Tamandua tetradactyla: one gene and its partner. The protein of the gene in region 1 interacts with the protein of each later gene in a biochemical or structural test. Links are inferred from orthologs where the notes say so. Each region holds a gene or a part of one and is shown in the gene's direction. Other genes may lie near its edges.

The links. The genes of interacting proteins can lie anywhere in the genome.
Region 2: of the proteins of MTOR (region 1) and EIF4EBP1, one has a biochemical effect on the other in vitro, tested with the Homo sapiens proteins (29 studies listed by BioGRID and IntAct, with this or other methods). The link is inferred for Tamandua tetradactyla from reciprocal best matches to the Homo sapiens genes MTOR and EIF4EBP1.

What each region holds. Positions count from the first base shown.
Region 1 is NC_135328.1:214,143,780-214,153,570, forward strand, and holds the start of MTOR (serine/threonine-protein kinase mTOR), read left to right. Parts: upstream 1-4,861; 5' UTR 4,862-4,981; intron 4,982-6,885; 5' UTR 6,886-6,899; coding exon 6,900-7,061; intron 7,062-7,699; coding exon 7,700-7,808; intron 7,809-9,201; coding exon 9,202-9,434; intron 9,435-9,791. UniProt on the Homo sapiens protein: Serine/threonine protein kinase which is a central regulator of cellular metabolism, growth and survival in response to hormones, growth factors, nutrients, energy and stress signals.
Region 2 is NC_135352.1:5,295,093-5,305,544, reverse strand, and holds the start of EIF4EBP1 (eukaryotic translation initiation factor 4E-binding protein 1), read left to right. Parts: upstream 1-5,803; 5' UTR 5,804-5,846; coding exon 5,847-5,991; intron 5,992-7,002; exon of another isoform or gene 7,003-7,075; intron 7,076-10,452. UniProt on the Homo sapiens protein: Repressor of translation initiation that regulates EIF4E activity by preventing its assembly into the eIF4F complex: hypophosphorylated form competes with EIF4G1/EIF4G3 and strongly binds to EIF4E, leading to repress translation.

The sequences.
Region 1 (9,791 bases):
CCCCTCCCACCCCACCCCCTTTTAATTGAAGCCCTGGAATGGGAAGTGATGCCTAGTAAGTTATTAGCCCTAGTAATAATCACAACAACAATAATTCTCGCTTTTTATTGTGCCATTACCACATGCCCTCTGCCACCTGGCCTGGCTTTTTTTTTATCCCTTTATCTCTAGTTTATTTACTTATTCGTGCAAATAACCGCCCTCTTCCCCACCCACCAGGTGGCCGGCTCTGTCTTCATCGCCTGCCTTCTGGAAGCTTATGGTCCATGTCTGTAGCTGCTCTGACTCGCCAGAGCCAATCGTTAAATCTTCAGGAACTTTGTGAGCTGGTCCACTAAACACAGCCATTAATAAAAATTAAATTATACAAACTTCCAATTAAATTATATTAACAATAAAGGTAACAAATACTCAAAACTCATCACTTCCTAATTATTTCATTAATTTTTTTGAATCACATACGTTCTTCGGGTTATTTACACTTACTGTATCTGTATGATGGAAACACAATACAATGATGTGCTACTGCACATCTGTTCTCAACTCTTCATCCAGTGACATCCGTAAGTAGCTTGAAATCTGCCACTGGGAATACTTACACGGTGCAAATCAGCAAATGCTCGATAATTGTTTTGTTGATTATCTAGGCTTAAGAAAGGGATGGAGAAAATATTAATAATGCATGTTTGGGGTGTACCGGTAGTTCGGTGGTAGAATTCTAGCTTGCTATGCAGGTGACCCAGGTTTGGCTCCCCACCCATGCACCAGAAAAGATTAAAAAAAAAAAAAAAAAAAGCATGTTAAACTCCAGAGTGTATGAAGTCTGTAGTAATTACACTGTGTATAGCAGTGTTTAAGTTTCCATCTGCTAAAACAGATTCCCTGCAATGGCTTAACAGGAATTTATTGGCTCACTGTTTCCGAGACTGGAAGGCTCACTTCCTCCCTTGTCAGTATTTTCTGGCTGGCTAGAAACCTTTGGGGGTTCCTCAGCTTATGTCTCACATGGCAACACACATGGCCGTGTCTTCTTTCTCTTTGGGGTTCTGATGACTTCCAGCTTCTGGGAGCTCCTGGTGGCTTCTTCTTCTGTGTCTGATTTCCTTCTGAGGACTTCAGCCATATGGGATGAAGGCCCATCCTCATCAGTTTGGCCACAACTTTCAGTGGTCCTGTGTACAAATGGGTTCCCGCCCACAGGATCAGGGGCTGGGACCGGAACTTGCCTTTTGTGGGGAACATGATTCAATCCCCAACAACCACCAAAAGTTTAAGGAAATATTCTTCCAGTATTGGAAAGCTATTATCCAATTCAGCAAAAAATCATTCATGTCACTGACAAAGGAGTGAAGGCCCAACATATTTCCTGATTGTTTCACTTTCCTTTTGTTAATATAAAAGGAAATACCGGCCAACATTCATGTCAGAACTACACTCATTCATCAGTTTCAACCATTTTAAGTGGGCTATGCTATATCAAGGAGAGCATTCTGTGAGAATCAATTGGCTCTATGGAATTCACAATAAAGAGCACTGTATATTTTATTATTATTGGAAATTGTGTACTACACATCCTTTATAGCAATAAAATTTATAATACACATAATATATATGTACCCAGGATGGACCACATAATTTGCAGGACCCAATGTTCAAAACGTGGAGCCCCTTGTTCAAATATCATCAAGAATTTCAAGACAGAGCACTGTGACTTCACAGGTTCAAGCCCATGAAGCTGACCCTGTAGATGAATATATGTAGAGAGCCGCTTTCCGGGTTTGGCCTAGTGGACACGCTGCAGCCTGCTCTAGAGTTCCCCCCGCCCATCGAGTGAGCCAAGATGGCGCTCACATCCTGCTTCCGCAAATGACGCACACGCCCACCAACCCTATCTTCCAATCACCTCTGTATACGTGGCACTAACCTATTGGGTTTGGGCACAGTATATAAGAGGTTACCCGGACGGGGTGGGTGGAGACGACCCACAGGGAGCCGTACCTGACGGCCGCACAGAGGTTGTCTCCCCGCGGGGTGCTTAGGCCCGCGTGGAACCTGTAACAGAGAATGCAAGCTTAACTCCAGTAAAGGTCTGTGCTCACAACCGTTGCGTGCCTCGAACCCGTGTTTATCACTCGAGTCGGTTTGCCTGCGCCTGTCTCTTTCTCCCCTCCTGTTCCCTTCGCCGGCCGGGGATCAGAAGCCGAACGAGATGGCTGCGGACAAATATATGCACCCCCCCCCACACACACACACATGAAAGAATGATCAGTGGCCAAACCTGAGTGTCTGAAGCATTGCTGCATCAGACAAGGGAAATAAGCTAATATATTAAAATCCTGGCTCCATCACTTACCAACTATATGACTCAATCTCTCTGTATCTCAGACTACTAATGTATAAAATGGGAACAATCCATCCTGCCTCTTAAGTAATGTTTAAGAATTACAGTTCAGCAATTATGAACTGATCACATGTACCAGATAATGTTGTAGGCATTTTACAGGTATTAGCATTTAACCCCTATGACACTGTCTACAGAAGTAGGTACCATAATCATTCTTGTTTTACACATAAAGAAGTAGGCACATAGAAATTATTTGTGCCCAGGTTCAAACAGTAAGTGTTGGATTTAAGTAGCAGATTTAAGCTGACTCCAAGCCTCTTCCAAACTTTATCCTACAATGCCTACCAAAATGCCTAATACATTTTAAGTGCTTAATAAATAAAGAGCTCCTTGTAAACTAAAAAGAGATCTACAAATGCACTGATTACTGCTGTCATAAAACCATCTTTGTTAGTTAAAAAAACAGGGACTTGCTTCATTTTAAGAGTGGCAAAAATCTCCCATTTCTGGTGGGAGTGAAAATTGGCACAACTCTTAGTGAGGGCAATTTGGCACTTTCCATTGAAACTACATGTGCATGTACCTCTGATCCTGCAATCACATTTCTGGGAAATTATCTTGGTACGCCCGCCCAGGAACAAAATGATATATGTACAAGGGCATTCACTGCAGCTTCAGTTGTAAGAGCAAAAAACTGGAAACAACACAACATCTATCAATAGAAGATGGAAAATAAATTACAGTGTATTCACATAATGGAATACTATGCAGCGACAAACAAGGAAGCTTTCTATATACTGGCATGGAAACATTTTCAAGATAAAAAGTGCAGAACAATGGATATAGTTAGAAAGGGGTAAAATAAAAATATTTATTTGTATTTGCTGATATTTGCATAAAGATACTCTAGAAGGTACATAAGAAACCAAAAGAATAAATAGTAAAGGGACATGAGTGAGTGCGTGAATTTCACTGATAAATGATTTTTATTTTGATATTCCTACAGTGAATACATTCTTTTTCACTTAATTTTTATTGTAGTTATATATATACATATATGTATATAAATTTGCTATTTTAGCCTTTTTTAAGTGTACAAATCAGTGATATTAATTATTTACAAGTTGACCAACCATCGTCACCGTCCATACCAAAACTTTATCACTCCAAACAGAACTCTGCACCCATTAAGCAATAACGCCCCTTCTCCCACAACCAACCCCTGGTAACCTCTAATCTACTTTCTGTCTCCACGAATTTGCTTATTTCTAGATAGATATCTCATATAAGATATTTCACAAAAGTGAACACATGCAGTATTTATGTCCGGCTGTTTCACTTAGCATCGTGTTTTCACCAAAGTTCATCCATCTCATAGCACGTATCAAAACTTCATTCCTTTTGACCGCTGAATAATATCCCATTGCATGTATACACGGTGACTCTAATACCTACTCAGAAATTATTAATGATTAAAAAGTAGTTAAGGGGCGGTGCAACGGCGGCTCAGCAGGCAGAATTCTCACTTGCCAAGCCGGAGACCAGAGTTCAATTCCCGGAGCCTGCCCATGCCCCCAAAAAGAAAAATGTCGCTAAGAGGGTGCAAGGATAGTTTAGCGGTAGAATTCTCGCCTGCCATGAAGGAGACCCGATTGGATTCCGGCCCATGCACTTCCCAAAAAAGAAAAAAAAAAAAAAAATCCAACAAATGGTGCTGCAATAACGGGAGGCTCACGTGGAAAAAGAATGAAATGTGACCCCCACAATACAGCATACAAAAAAATAATAATAATTAAGTGCCATTTTTGTTACTGAATTTTTTGGGGGGTTGGATGGCGGGATGTGCACTGGCCGGATCCGAACGGGGTCTCCCGCGTGGGAGGCAAGCATTGTACCCCTGAACCACCTCCGCACCCCTTGCCATTGAATTCTGGGAAGTTCTTTAAAACGATAACGTTGCTTTGAAATAATTTGAGTAGCTCATTTAATTAAGAACTGGTTATAAGTTCTCAGAATGATCTTTGAGCTAAAAAATTTTTGAAAAGCGAGAAAAATCTAACTTAAAACGTTCTCAAATGCATATTACATTTAAAGAAGAGAATTCATGGAGCCATAAGCAGAGCGCGGGCGAAAATTCTGAGACGCCAGGCTCGGAATTATCCAGAGCACAGCCTCGAACCTCAGTTTACAGCCGCTTGGACCCGCCCCGCAGTACCCAAGAGAACAGACTCGGCACAGCCACATCCCCGGTGCAGAAGGGAATTTTAGCAGTGATACACCGGATGTTTGAGTGGAAGTGACGAAGTCAACTCACGACCGATTGGCTCTCCCGAGCGGACCTCAGACTCCTTTTGCCTGTCACTGGCCCCCTGGTTTGTCTATTTGAAGAATCTCCGCCCCCCGGAGAAGCCGGCTCCTGAGGCGTCATACCTCCTTCATTACTATTGGACTGTGTTCCAGCCTATCTTCTTTTTCCGTCTGTCGATTGGTCATCGGGGCTGGGGGCCCGCCCTCACTCCCGCCCTCACTCCCGCCCGGCTTAGAGGACAGCGGGGAAAGCGGGTGGTGGGATTGGGGGTCTGAAACGGCGGTACCGGCGCTGGCGGCGGCAGCTGAGGACTTGACCGAAGCCGCGCGGTGAGTCTGGGGTCTGGCACCGACTCTTTTAACGTGGCGGAATGTCCGGACTCACGGCCAGTCTGGTCCGTATGGGGTCCCGGGAAGCCGCTTGTCGGGAACGTGGGGACTCCTTAGTACCGGCACCTCGGATCTGGGCGCCACCTGGGCCCTTGACCGCCACCCGGCGAGGCACGCCCACCTCCCGCGCGACCCCCGGCACCCTCTAGCCCGCCTGACTCCCAGGCACCCGCGAGGCCTGCTCATCAGCTCCGGTGCGGCAGAAGGCCCTTGGGGGCTCTTTGCCCTGTGGTCTCAGACACGCCTTCTGAGCCACCTACAAATCCCGGACCCCCTGCCTCGGAGAGGACGCCGTCAGTGACAGCCCCTTGTTCTCCACCGTAGAGACTTCTCAGGGACTCAGTCCCCGGGATTGAGCTCGGTTCCATGCTGGGGTTTCATTCTCTTTGCCTTTCCCACGTCAAGACACTTGACTTCGAGTAGTTTACGACTGAATTCGACCCGGAGCAGATGGCCTGTGGGCCTTAGACCGTATGAAGATACACTGGTCCTTTCTTGAGAATGGGGAATCGTTTGCCAGCCGCCCACCCCTCCCCACCACCGCCACACACTCACGCACACGCAAACGGTGTAGTACTTTTCTCATGAGGGATCCTTGGAATTTCTCTTCTGTAAAAGGTGCTAATTTCCTTTTGCAGTCTTCTTGGCACTGGAGTATTTAAAAGCTTTCAAAGGCAGTTATTCCCTGTTTTTTCCTCTGCGTGTCACAAATGCATTCAGAAATAAAATTTTTTGAGTAATTGGTTTTATAATATAATTTGAACGTAACTAAGATAGGTAAATATGTGTTATTCCCGTAGGAGTCTGTCAGGAGTCCCACTATGACCACTTTATTGTGGTTGCCTGATTGTCTTTATTTACCACTGGATCTTAAGCTCACTGAAGAATGAGTGAATGATCTCAAGAATTAATCAGTCTCTTTTAGTTCACATCTGAGAAGCTAGTGTTCTATAGAACCAAACTATCTAGTACAATAGCCACCAGCCACAGGCGACTACCAAGCACTTAAAATGTGGTTAGTCTAAATAGAGATTGCTCTAATTGTAGAATACAGGCTAGATTTTGGCGACAGTACAGAATAGAATGGAACCTGCATCAGTAATCTTTTATAATGATAGCATGTTGAACTGAGATTTTGGATGTATTGGGTTAAATTAAATATTAAAATTAATTTCATTGGTTTCTTTTCACTTTTTTTTTGAAATATGGCTACTAGGAAATTTAGAATTATTTTTGTGGATCGTATTTTATTTCTGTTGGCCAGCACTGCTATAGAATAATAATCTCCCTTTTTAGATTAAACTCCTTGAGGAAGGGGGCTGGCTTACTCATTGTTTTATTCTCTCCTTTCCTCCCCACTTCTAGTACCTGGTGCTGTGCCAGGTATATAGTGGTAATAATGATAAAAATAGCTGACACTTATTGAGAAATCACTGTGTGTCTGACCCCATTTTAACTGCTTTTTTTTTTAACCTGTATTAATTCGCTTGATCCTTACATCAACCCTTTGAATTAGGTACTATTATCCTCATATTGTAAATGAGGAAACAGCTACAGAAATTTTAAGTATCTTCCTCTAGGTATATAATCTTGGAAGTAGATTTAAACCCAAGTAGTCTGGCTCCATGGCACACACTTTGACCCACTGTGTTATGCTGCTACTCACTGTTGGGTGAATGTTTTCTAGGCTTTCTACATTTTCCTCAGTGAAGTCTCCCAGCTCTTAGAATCCCCTACCTGACCTGGGGCCGGGGGGAGTGGAGATCTATGTTGAGGAGCCTAGGGCCAATAAATTCATTCCCATAGTTCATATTCAGAATACTAAAGAAAGCTTCTCTCCAAAGAACCTTAGGGCAAAATGCTTGGAACGGGACCTGCGGCGGCCACCACAGCTACCACCACCTCCAGTAATGTGAGCGTTCTGCAGCAGTTTGCCAGTGGCCTGAAGAGCCGCAATGAGGAGACCAGGGCCAAAGCTGCCAAGGAGCTCCAGCACTACGTTACCATGGAGCTCCGAGAGGTTGGGGGCTTCTGTGATTTGGGACCAGTCATTGTGGGGTGTTTGGGCTAAATTACCATCACTGTTTTAGATGCTTTTTGACAGCTAAGGAGGATTTGGAAATGTAGAGATTCTGTTTTGGAAAAACGACCAACTTGTAATGTCCATAGACTATACAGGTTCCTTTGCAGTGGTTTCACATGTCTGTGGCATTTCTTGTGTTTGTGGTAACATTTTTGGAGTCAGAGTAGAGGCTGTCTTTTTTAATTTATTGTCTTTCCTGCCACGTACCAGACCCTCATTTCTTTCTTCCTGATTATAGTGGCTGGGGAAGTTGATAACCTGGAGCTATCTAAGTAAATACTCTACATGAAGTCAGCAACAGTGTCTTGTTCATCCTTGTACGCCAAGCACTAGGTAGAACCTAGGACAAGATGTTTCCTACCATAAAGTTGATAATTAATAAAGATTTAGTAAATGAACAGATCCAATTATGAGTTCCATTGCTGCAGTTTAAAGCTGTAAAAATGGGCAGTAACTTTGTCTTCTTTGGTTTAAACTGTACCTGCTAAAAACCTCTCAGGTCCTAATCTTTGGAAGGCCCCCAACCCAAACCAGGAAGACATTAGAAATTGTTCTGAGCACATCTTCTTTTGCAGATGAGTCAAGAGGAGTCCACTCGCTTCTATGATCAGCTGAACCATCACATTTTTGAATTGGTCTCCAGCTCAGATGCCAATGAGAGGAAAGGTGGCATCTTGGCCATAGGTAAGCATGTCGTCTCTGATAACAATAACAGCTAGGAATACAGCCCCACTTATTTTTGTGTCCACTGTACCCCTTAATGTCTGCCACTTAATGGATACTAGTTCATATTTGTTTAATGAACTTCATGGGACTGGTGCTCTTATATTATACGTATCTTAGTTCTAACAACAGTCCTGAGGCATAGGCAAAGAAGGTATTTTCAGATATGAAAACTGAGTCTCAGGACTGTTAAGTGGCTTTTCTAGGTCCAGACAGTTTGCCAGAGATGGGCCTAGAAGTTGGCTTCCTTTCTGTTCTAGTTTGCTAGCTGCCGGAATGCAATATACCAGAAACAGAATGGCTTTTAAAAAGGGAAATTTAATAAGTTGCTAGTTTACAATTCTACAGCCGAGAAAATGTCCCAATTAAAACAAGTCTATAAAAATGTCCAATCAAAGGCATCCAGGGAAAGATACCTCAGTTCAAGAAGGCCAATGAAGTTTGGGGTTTCTCTCTTAAGTAGAAGGGCACATGGCGAGCACAGTCAGAGTTTCTCTCTCATCTGGAAGGACACATGGTGAACACAGCATCATCTGCTAGCTTCTTATCTCCTGGCTTCTGGTTTCATGAAGCTCCCCAGGAGGCGTTTTCCTTCTTCATCTCCAAAGGTCTCTGGCTCGTGGACTCTCTGCTTTGTAGTGCTGCAGCATTCTCTGCTCTCTCCGAATCTCCCATTCTCCCAAATGTTTCCTCTTTTATAGGACTCCAGTAAGCCAATCAAGACCCACCCAAATGGGTGGAGACATGTCATCACCTAATCCAGTTTAACAACCACTCTTGACTAAATCACATCATCCAGGGAGATGATCTGATTACAGTTTCAAACATACAGTATTGAATAGGGATTATTCTACCTTTATGAAATGGGATTTTGATTAAAACATGGCTTTTCTAGGGGGCATACTTCTTTTCAAACCAGCACACTTTCCATTCCCCCTATATTGCTTTTTACAGGATCTGGTTTCTGTGTAGAGCAGGATGGCAGAATGAGGCTCACAAATACAGAGTTGTCAGACTGGCATCTTTGTTAAGTTAGAGGCATAGTTATAAAAGATAGGTAATTTTCAACTTCCAAGGACTGCTGGTCCATTCTATGACCTTGGTTGTATTCTTTTTTCTCTTGGGAAAATAAATTATATGATACTAAAATGAGATCTTTTTGTTTCATATAAGTAGGTTTGGCCCAAATATCGAAACTATTGATAAAGGTGAAAATTAGCTACTGCTTTACCATCTGGAAATTGAAGTTTAGTCAAAGTGAAATGAAAAGAAAACTCACCAGCTTTCACTTCACAGCTCTGTTCATTTTTGGATAGCATGTGCCCCATCCTCACGTTTGCCTTCTCTTCTCTAGCCAGCCTTATAGGAGTGGAAGGAGGGAATGCCACCCGAATTGGCAGGTTTGCTAACTACCTGCGGAACCTTCTCCCCTCCAATGACCCAGTTGTCATGGAAATGGCATCCAAAGCCATCGGCCGCCTAGCCATGGCAGGGGACACTTTTACTGCTGAGTATGTGGAATTTGAGGTGAAACGAGCCTTGGAGTGGCTGGGTGCTGACCGCAACGAGGGCCGGAGACATGCAGCCGTGAGTACCTGCGAGGGAGGAGCACAGCTAGGCCTGGGGAGCGATGACAACATTTTGGAATCTCTCATGCAATGTGCTCAGGTTCCTGAAAGACAAAGAATGGGAAGGGGCACTTCAGGCAAAGGCTCTGTGTTTCTGGTGGATTTAGGTTTTCTTGTGAATCCGTATCTCTCTTTCAACCTGAGCTTGATACCTGAAAAAGAATCTTTAAAAGTTTTCTTCTTTGTTATTTGAAAGGCAGCCTTAAATTTAGGGCTTATTCTAATCTCTAGTTTTCTAGAATCAAAATTGCCTCTAGAGAGGCAAAAGGTACCCTTCAGCCATAGAGGAGAAAAGAAGTCACAAGCCAAAATGTTT
Region 2 (10,452 bases), on another chromosome or scaffold:
AAGTCCCCTTGGGGGAATGGGGAGAAAGGGGGAAAAATTCAACTTCCCTTTTTGGAGAATTCCTGATATTCTCGCAAGCAGCAGGGACAACCAAATCAATAGGCTGAACCCTCAATCTTGGGGTTTGCCCCTATGAAACCTATCCCTGCAAAGGATAGGCTAAGCCTACTTAAAATGAGGCCTAAGAGTCACCCCCAGAGAACATCTTTGTTGCTCAGATGTGGCCTCTCTCTCTCTGACATGGCAAGCAAACTCACTGCCCTCCCCTGCTTTATGTGGGACATGACTGCTAAGGGTGTAAACCTCCCTGGAAATGTGGGACAGAAATCCTAGGATGAGCTGGGACTTGGTATCAAGGGATTGAGAAAACCTTGACCAAAAGAGGGAAGAGGAAAATGAGACAAAATAAAGTGTGTCAGTGGCTGAGAGATTTCAGAGTCAAGAGGTTATCCAGGAGGTTCTTTTTAAGCATTATATAGATAGATATCCCCTTTTTGGTTTATGGTGTATTAGAGTGGCTAGAGGGAAGTACCTGAAACAGTAGAACTGTGTTCCAATTGCCATCTTTCTTAAAGATCAAGGGCCTGGCCTATTGATTTGGGTGTCTCTAATGCTTGACATAATATCAAGGGTTTCCCAGGTGGTAAAGCTTAATAGTTCCTTATTTTTTCTCCAATCTCTAGGAAATTTGCCAATACTTTTTGATTATCTACTTAACATACTCTGGGATGTGTCCAGGCATTACATTAAGTTATACAGGATTAAAGTCCTTCGTTCTTTTTTTTTTTTTTTTAATATTTTTATTGTAAATAACAAACATACAAACATTCTTGACATGGTTATAATCAATGGCTCACAATATCATCACATAGTTGTATATTCATCACCAAGATCATTTGATCATTGATCTTCAGGCTTGCTCTTGTGAAGCTTATGTATGTAGTTGAAAAGCTTAGCCTACCTATAGGTATGCCTAAGAGTTACTTCTGGAGGACCTCTTTTGTTGCTCAGATGTGACCTCACTCTCTAAGCCCAACTCTGCAAGTGAAATCATTGCCCTCCCCACTATGTGGGACATGACATCCAGAGGTGAAAGTCTCCCTGGTGGTGTGGGAGATGACTACCGGGAATAAGTCTGGCCCTGGCACCGTGGGATCAACAATGCCATCCTGACAAAAAGGGGGGAAAGAAGGGTAACAAATAAACTATCGGTGGCTAAGAGAATTCAAATAGAGTCAAGAGGCTACTCTGGAGGTCACTCTTACATAAGTTTCAGTTAGACATTGCTACCTATCATGTCTTGCCAAACCCCAATCAAAACCAATCCTGCCAATCCTAAAGAACACCTAGGACATTCTATAAAATTCTGCAAAGGATCCATGCACTAGGGTAACTTTCCAGAAACCAACAACCTCCGGATGAGTACCTGGACCAGATAAGTCCTGAAATGCAGAGGGCCCAGCCTCTCCAGAATATCAACTAGTTCCATCCCCTATCCCCTATTATCAACAGCCCCTCCCAATAGGAAAAAATTAGAATGGACATAGTCCTAATACTCCTTAAGAATGGGAGAATGATCAAAGGTAATGGTGGAGTTATACAGAGTAGGTTGGGTTTAACAAATGGGTATGATTGCTGAATCATTATATTGATACTTCTTTTAGTCTTCGGTATCTTAGAGCAGCAATAAGTAAAAACCTAAAATTGTAGAATTGAAACCCATACCAAATTCTGAAATCTATTGTACAACTAATTATTGTGGTGTGCTTTCAAATTTATTGCTTTTTTGTATATATATCATTTTTCACAGAAAAGAAAAAAAGTCAATTGCAATGATAAATGCACAGCTATATGATGATATTGTGAACCACTGATTGTACACTTTGGATGATTACAGGATATATGACTATATGATATATATCAATAGAAAATAAAATAATAATTTATATTAATAATTGAAAATAAGAGCCTTGAAGAGACAGAAACAAACATGTTTGACTTCAGCAGCAGTGTTACTAGAGAAAGGCTATGGATCACTTTTGCAGATGTGCTCAATAACCAATTCCTGAGACATGACGTTTCATTTATTACTAGGCACATAGCAGGAGAGCAGATGGTCTAGCAGCTCAAAATTTGTCTCCCCAAAGTAGTAATTCTGATAGTTTTATAGAGAAAAAGATGGGCAGACTTTAGGACAATGAGCACAGTGGCCCCAGATGATATAATTAGAGGTGATCTAATTATTGAGCATGCGCAGATCGATTATATGCTTAGAGAACGTATGTAAGAAAATGGTGGAATGAGGTATACGTGACTCGCAAGTTAAAGTCTAAGCTACTGTGCATGCAAGAGGGTCCACTTTGGTTAGATCCAGTCTCCCACATCAAGATAACTTTGGGTTTTGGGTGGGTTAAGTTCTGGGCTGATCCAGGACCCTTCATTAATAAACATTAGGGGTTGTCTTTAGTGATTACAAGCCTCTAAAGTTGAAAAACGGTATAACTTGGTACAAATGAAGGTTAGTCCCAGGTTTTCACAATCACAGGGGCAGAAGATAAGGACTATATAATCATTATCAGAGATCAAGGCAGCTGGATTACAGTTTAGAGATTTCAGTATTTCCCTCTATTCCAATATACCAGAAAGCAAAAAGGATTATCTATATAATGATTCAATAATCAAAATCATCTCTTAAAACCCTTATTTCTTGGTTACAGCAGCACCCAAAACTATTATTATGACCTCTCAGAGGTAACTGCTAAAGAGAGGCAGTAAAGACATGTTCCCTGTCCTAAAGAAGCTGATACCAAATCAGAAGATTTGATATGAACGAGTCCCTGATAAATAAGAAGGAGAAATTATTGCAGGCAAAATGACTGGACCAGAAACAGAACTGAGGAAGGAGTCTGTCTGAGACCTAGAATATCAATGCAGAGGGTCCTCAGAGATCTTCAAATCCATCCCCTTATTTGACAGATAAGGAGATCATGGCTCAGAGAAGGAAAGTGACTAGACCAAGCTGAACAGCTCTTTAGTGGCAGAACTAGGGTGCAAACCCACAGCTCCTGATTCCCAGACTAGTGCTTCTACTATAATCACACGTTCTAGCCTACGGAAACTGCTGTGTCTTGATTCTTGGGAGCTGCTACCTTTGTGTGAGGGGCTTGTCTGGCCTTAGATGTGGAGGTGATGACCCCAGGTCTAGTCAGTCAGCAGCCCTCTGACCCCTCTGTAATTTCCCTCTTCCCCTTCTCCACCCCATTGCATGCTGAGGTCCTTGCAAGTATTGAGCTTTCTAAGCAGCCTCCTTCTCTAGACTCTTAGCCCCATGAGCTCCAGGCCTCAGATCTGACCAAACTTGCACATCCAAAAAACCAACAGCAAAACCACTTTCAGAACATCTCCTCCCCAAGGGAGGATGGACTTCTTAGCACAATGAGAAAGCACTGCCCAGCGCTCGCAGGTAGAAGACTGGGCATTTAATGGCTGTGTGATCTTGGGCAAAACTCTGCCCCTCTCTGGGCCTCAGTTTTCTGCTGTCTTTTAAAAAATAAGATGAGGGTGAATATTGTCCGGGATGATCTATAATGAACCTGCCACAGGTAAAATCTGATGATTCTGTAACTGAGAAGTTAGGATGTAAGGGATGATTATGTTGCGGAATCATTAAACCGTATTTCTTTTTGCTTTCTGGTATATTGGAGCAAACAGAGGGAAAGACCTGAAATCCTTGAACTGTAATCCAATGTCCTTGACCTCTGATAGTGATTGTATAGCCTTTATCTTATGCCTTTGTGATCACAAAAGCCTCATGACTGACCCTCATTTCTACCCATTTTATCTGGTTTTTCAACTTTGGTGTCTTGGATCACTAACGACAGCGCCTAATGTACTTTTATTTTTATTTTTTATATATTTTTTGTATGCTGTATGGTGGGGGGTCACATTTCCTTCTTTTTCCATGTGACTGTGCCATTATTGCAGCACCATGTGTTCATTTTTGGGGGTGGGGGGACGAAGTGCATGCCTAACATTTATTAACGAAAGGCACTGGATCAGTCTAAAGCAAACCCAGCCCAATTCCAAAGTTATTACTGGATCTAACCGAAACGGGCCTGCTTGGCATGCGAAGCTTAGACTTTAACCTATAAGTGACCTAGACCTCATTATAATACTAAAAATCATGCCCATCATCATATTAAGGCCACCATTTCTTTTTTCTTTTTTTCTTTTTTTAAGGCCACCATTTTCTTACATATGTTCTAGGACTAAGCATGTAATCAATCTGCACATGCTCAATAATAAAAACACCTCTACTTACATCATCGAGAACCACTGCACTCATTATCCAACCACCTGCCCATCTTTTGATACTCTAAAACCACAGATTTACTGCAGTTCAGGAAAAAAGATTTGGGGGCTGATATGCCATCTGATCTCTTGCTTCAGGCCTGTCAATAAACTCTTTATCTCTTTGAAACCCTAGTGTCTTGAGAATTGGTTCTTTAAACACTTTGGGCAAAAAATCCAACACCTTTGTTTCTTAACAATTCCCTTGTCAGGGACACCAAATGTGACTATCTAACAGCAGGCAGTAAAGTTCTGGAAATAACTTTAGGATGGCTTTAACACTGCTTCACTGCAGAATAACGGTACCCAATAGAAATATAATGAGTCACATATATCATTAAATTTTTTCTTATGGTCACATTTTAAAAAGTAAAATAAAAAGTAAAAAGAAAGGCGAAATTTATTTTAATACATTTTACTTAACCTAAAATATTCAAAATGTTATCAAACTCAGCTCAATTTAAAAGGATAATGTCCTAAGAACACCTCAGAACGATTTAGAAGGCCCTTCACAATTCTGCCCCAATTTCTTTCTCTAAAATGAGGCTATAATGACTTTTTTTTTTTTTTTTGGCATGAGCAGGCACTGGAATCCAACCCGCGTCTCCGACTTGGCAGGAAAGAATTCTGCCTGCTGCGCCACCGTGGCCCGCCCTAAAATGATATTTTTTTAACCCAACAAAGTTTTCCAGCCTCCTTGCATTTTTCCCTCTCTGGCTGGGGAACTTCTGCATCTCCTTGAAGATTCATTCCCTAGTTCCATCCTTCATTCATTCATTTAAAGAGGGTCTGCTGGATCAGGCAGCTTGCTGGAGGTTGGACCCAAAATGGAAACTACGTTGGTTCACTATGGGCACCTTCTTAGACCAATCCTTCCCCCTTCCCGCAAAGCTGAGATGGTTCCTGGAGGAGCCGCTTGAGCTCTAGCTGAACCCTTATCATCCAGCAATTTGGGTCACGTGCCCTTCTCCCACACCCTCCCCAAAGGCGGGTTACCTGCTTTATTTGCACGTATTTATTTCTTGAATGTCAGTCATATGGTGAATGCCCAATAAACAAATGAGGAGTGAATGACAATCAATCTCCTCCGGGAAAGAAGGAAGCAAGGGTTGGGAAGAATACCTGGCGTGATGTCTTAAAGTAGAAATCAGGAGTCCCCAGAGTGGGCCGGGCCTCATAGGACCCTGGCCCAGCGCCCCCAACCCAGACAGGCTTTAAACAAGAGAGGTCTCCCGCCCCGAACCTCGCCCCTGCCAGCTTAGAAGGGACAGGCAATGGGTGACCGCGCCGGGATCCCCGCGGTTGGAGCACAGACGGTCCCGACCCCGGGGTCCCAGCGCCGCCGGGGGACCCACGTGCAGGCAGCAGCGCAGGGCTGGGTGGGGCTACGGCACAGCGGTGACTACAAATCCCAGGGGGGTGCGAGCGGAAGGGGCGGTCCTGGGCGGGGCGGCCGCGCTTGGTCTGCTGCACCGGGATTTAGTACACTGGAGACCATGTCGGAGGGCAACGGCTGCAGTCAGACCCCAAGCCGGGCGATCCCGGCCACCCGCCGGGTGGTCCTGAGCGATGGCGTGCAGCTGCCGCCCGGGGACTACAGCACCACCCCCGGCGGCACACTCTTCAGTACCACCCCGGGAGGTAGGCGCCTGTTTGGGGGGCACCGCGTGCTGGCTCCGGGGAACTGGTCGTGGGGCGGACCGATGGCACCTCGCGGAAGGGGACGCGGTGCTTGGGACGCGGGCAATGGGCCGGACGGATAAGGGGCATTAAGGAGGGAGCTTGGGGTCACGGAGGTGGCCATGGGGAGTGAGCGGGCCCCCGTGGCCTGCCCTCCGGATTGTCCTCCGGAGCCCAGAGTTAGTTCTGCAAACTCCCCCTTCTGGGAGAGATAGAGGAGCACTCTCGGCCGAAACACACGCACGCTCCCTGATTGCCCCCTGCCGAGGTGTGCTTTTCCCCTTGTGGGTGTCGCGACAGTTCCAGGGTGGGACGGGGTCGGGTTAGGGTGTCCCACGGATCAGGGAGAGGCCCAGCCTGCGGCTTCTAGGGCATGGGACGGGCACTCTTATTGAATAAATAACCCCAGGGAAGGAGAGGACACCCCTCACAATACTTGTAACAGAATCCCTTTTCCTTCCCGAGGTACCCCAGTTTTGCGTTGGACTCCGTCATCGGAGTTTTGGTGGGAGGGTTGCTGAGCGCCCGGCAGCGCCTGTGGGCACGTGTGGGACAGCCCACATTCCCACGGGTGGGTTCTCCGCGGAGGGGCTCGGCGCCGCGCGCAGGGCCGTGCAGAGAAACACATTCTTCCTCCCGGGGCGGGGGGGCCGTGTGAGCTCTCCGAATGTGGATGAGGAAGAGGAAGCTGAGTCGGCACGGGTGGGGGCCATAGTCTAGGCTGCCCCCTGGGGAGCCAAGCATTCCCTCCCAGGCCGGGAGCCCCGGCTCAGTCGCGCTGATGAAACCTGCCCGCCTGTTTGCATGATGAAATCCTCATGGCTCACCACTTCCCTTCATTCCTCGCTCTGTCCCCACCCGCCTTTTCTCCTCTCCCACCGCTCGCCTTTCCCACCAAGCTATCCGAAATCGCGTTCAGCTGAGTGGCGCGCGGCGGTCGTGGAGACCCGCGCGGGCCTGCGGCGGCCTCACCTCCTGCCACATGCTCATTTTCTCAGGCAGCTGCTCCACCGCTGACGAGTACAGCCAGATCCAGCGACCTCGTATGTTTAGTCCAAAACACAATACACACGTCAGAGCCATTAGGGTTAGTAGATGTTCGTGCCTCCCCCCCCCACCCCAGCGCATGCCTCTGCCTTATTCTTCGAAACATGGCACCAAGCCCCAAAGCTTGAAAACATGTGTCATTCTCCAGAGTCACAGTTTGCCCAGATTGGGTAAGAAATAGCAGCCAGCCAGAGTAGGGAGAAATACTCTTTCTTCTATTAGTAACTAGCCAAGAGAAGTTCTCAGGGCCTCTTAGCACTCAACTCAAATTCTCTTTCCCAGCCAGCCCTTGTAGAGCCCATGCTGTTTGCTTTCTCTTTGTTATGATGTATCTTCCAGGACCTTTTTGACCATTTTGGGGTTCCTTAAGTGCAAATCTCTGTTTAATCTGTGCAGGCTAGACCCTGAGGCTGGCCCCTTTCCTGAAAGCTTTGTTGCAGGAGGAGTACTGGGCAGACTGGAAGCGGTGTCCACTCTTTATAAGAAACTCTGATTCGGTCCTCACTTTGGATCGAGAAGACCACAGCAAAACTCCTCCTCCCGTTGAAGGTTTATTCTTGGGAGAAAGGAAAGGGGCTTCTGGATCAGAGTGTAACATGTTTCTGAGGCCAACTGGAAGAAAACCCAGTGCCAGGAGCCTAAGGCCAGCTCTTCTCTTCGATGCCCAGTCAGGGTAGACACAACTCAGTCCGAATCCTGAGCCCAGCTAGCCTGCCAAAGTCGGTTTGTCTGGTCTGCCTCAGTTGGCCATGGGGTGCAGTCTACCTCCCAAGTCCAGTTTATCCCACCCCTTCGCCAGAACAGAGAAGCGTGACCTACTGATAAAAAGTCATTTCCTGGTCCTCTTTGCTTTAGTCCATGGTGGTCTCCAGGACTGTATCTCAACCTTAAATGTGCCTGTGAATTAGCTGGGGACCTCATTTAAATGCAGATTTTGACTAAGTATGCCCCTGGGTGGGGCCTGTGAGTCTGCATTTCTAATGTGCCCCCCAGTGACTGGTCCATGGGTGACATCCTGAGTCCTCAGGAATTAGTGGAATGTAGCTCCCCTTGCCTTTTCAGACCTCTGGGGTCTGGCTAAAAAGCGATGATTCTATCTAGGTAAGCTTCCGAGGTTGGGTTTGGCATCCGCTTCTAAAGGAGGGAATGGAAAGTCCGTCTTGGCAGTGTCTGCATAGGAGCCCACACTGGCAGATTTGTAGGAGGGCTCATTCTTTACGATGAGCTGCTGGGATAAGTCTCCACTAGTCACTGCAGTGCTGGTCCCTAGAGGAAAAAAACAGCAGTGGATTTGAGTGACCTCCATTCCCGTGGTTGCTCTCTATGGCCATTCATCCTTCACTCCTGAACTTAGGTGTCTGTAGGACTTGAGAGAAATTTGCATAACAGAGTGTTGGGCATGAATATTTTGAGTCGAAAATCTCCAGTGACACCATACACATCCCTTGAACTGGTAGAGCGTCTGAGTGGGTTGGAGACATCTCCTGCCTCACCCACTCAGTCTTTGCATTCCTCCTTCCATGTTGGATTTCTGACTTGCCAAAAGGGGCTGCTTGGATGGTAGGCTTACCTAAGACCTGTACTTGGGTAAAAGTAAGGTTAATCAGAAGTAAGCAGGTCTGGCTGCAGATGTTAGTGGCATCCTATTTGGTTAGACAAACAAGGTCTGTGCCCAGGAAGCTTACTCCCAAGTCTTGGGGTCGTGGAACAGATGGGAGTTCTGAAGCCACAGAACAGCCAGTGTCTCAGTGCCTTTGTCACGTGCAAAGGAGATATTGTGCTAAGGACAGGTCAAAAGAGCTTGGACATTACAGCAGTGAGGGAGAAGCCACAGGTACTCTTCCTCATATTGACCTGAGCGTCTTTTTTTATTTATTTATTTATTTTTAACATGGGTAGGCACTGGGAATCGAACCCGGGTCCTCGGGCATGGCAGGCAAGCATTCTTGCCTGCTAAGCCACCGTGGCCCGCCCCTGAGCATCTTTTTAAAGTGTGTAGAACATTCCACATAATATCCCTCTTTAAAGACTTTTTTTTAATTAAAAAAATTTAAAAAATATATATAACAAACACAAACATTCTTATGATCATTCTGTTGTACATATATAATCAGTAATTCACAATATCATCACATAGTTGCATATTCATCATCATGATCAATTCTTAGAACATTTGCATCAATTCAGAAAAAGAAAAAGGCAACAGAAAAAGATGCATACGTAACATACCCCTTACCCCTCCCCCTATTGATCACTAGCATTTCAATGCACTAAATTTATTTTAACATTTGTTCCCCCTATATTTATTTATTTTTAATCCATATGTTTTACTCGTCTGTCGATAAGGTAGATAAAAGGAGCATCAGACACAAGGTTTTCACAATCACACAGTCACATTGTGAAAGCTATATCATTATACACTCATCTTCAAGAAACATGGCTACTGGAACACAGCTCTACATTTTCAGGCAGTTCGCTCCAGCCTCTCCATTACACCTTAACTTAAAAGGTGATAACTATATTATGTGTAAGAATAACCTCCAGGATAACCTCTCCATTCGGTTTGGAATCTCTCAGCCACTGACACTTTATTTTGTCTCATTTCACTCTTCCCCCTTTCAGTCCAGAAGATTTTCTCAATCCCTTGATGCTGAGTCCCAGCTCATTCTAGGATTTCTGTCTACAGAAGGAATTGCCAGGAAGGTCCACACCCTGCGGAGTCAAGACATACGTATTTTAATTGTTTTCAGAGATTACTTTTTTTTTTCCTCAAATATTTTGAAAGGTGTGATTTTTTTTTCCTTAAAGAGCCAAAAGTCCTTCATTTCCAAATTTGCTGAAAGAGGCCAGGTTGTTGGTATAATTCAGGGAGGCATTTTCTTATACGGGACAATAAGTCATTCTAGCAGAGGACGTAGGAAGGGGCAGCAGTACTGGAAAACAAGGAATGCCCCCCAAGGTGAAGGTTTTTAAGGGAAAATGTTCATTTGTACATATATAAGGAAAACTGTTCATTTGTGCATATAGATTTTTGTGTGTACAAAGGCATGAAAAGCCTGTCATTTCTGGTCTTAAACACGTGCTGGTGTGTTTCCACCATGATGACTCATGGCATATGTTTACCTGTTTGTTTTCTTCCTTAAACAGGAAGTGCTTTCAGGGCAATCTTACTCAACTTGGTATCTCCGGGATCTCGTGCCAGGCCTCATGTTCAGAAGGTGAAGGGTTGAAAAGAATCCTGGAATGAAAGCATTACCCTTAGCATAGCTTAGTTTCTTTATCATCAGATGTAGGTCTGAACTGGCTTGATGATATTTAAATTTTATTTTCTGTCCTTTCAGTTGCAGGATATAATCAGTTATCTCAGAATGGCCC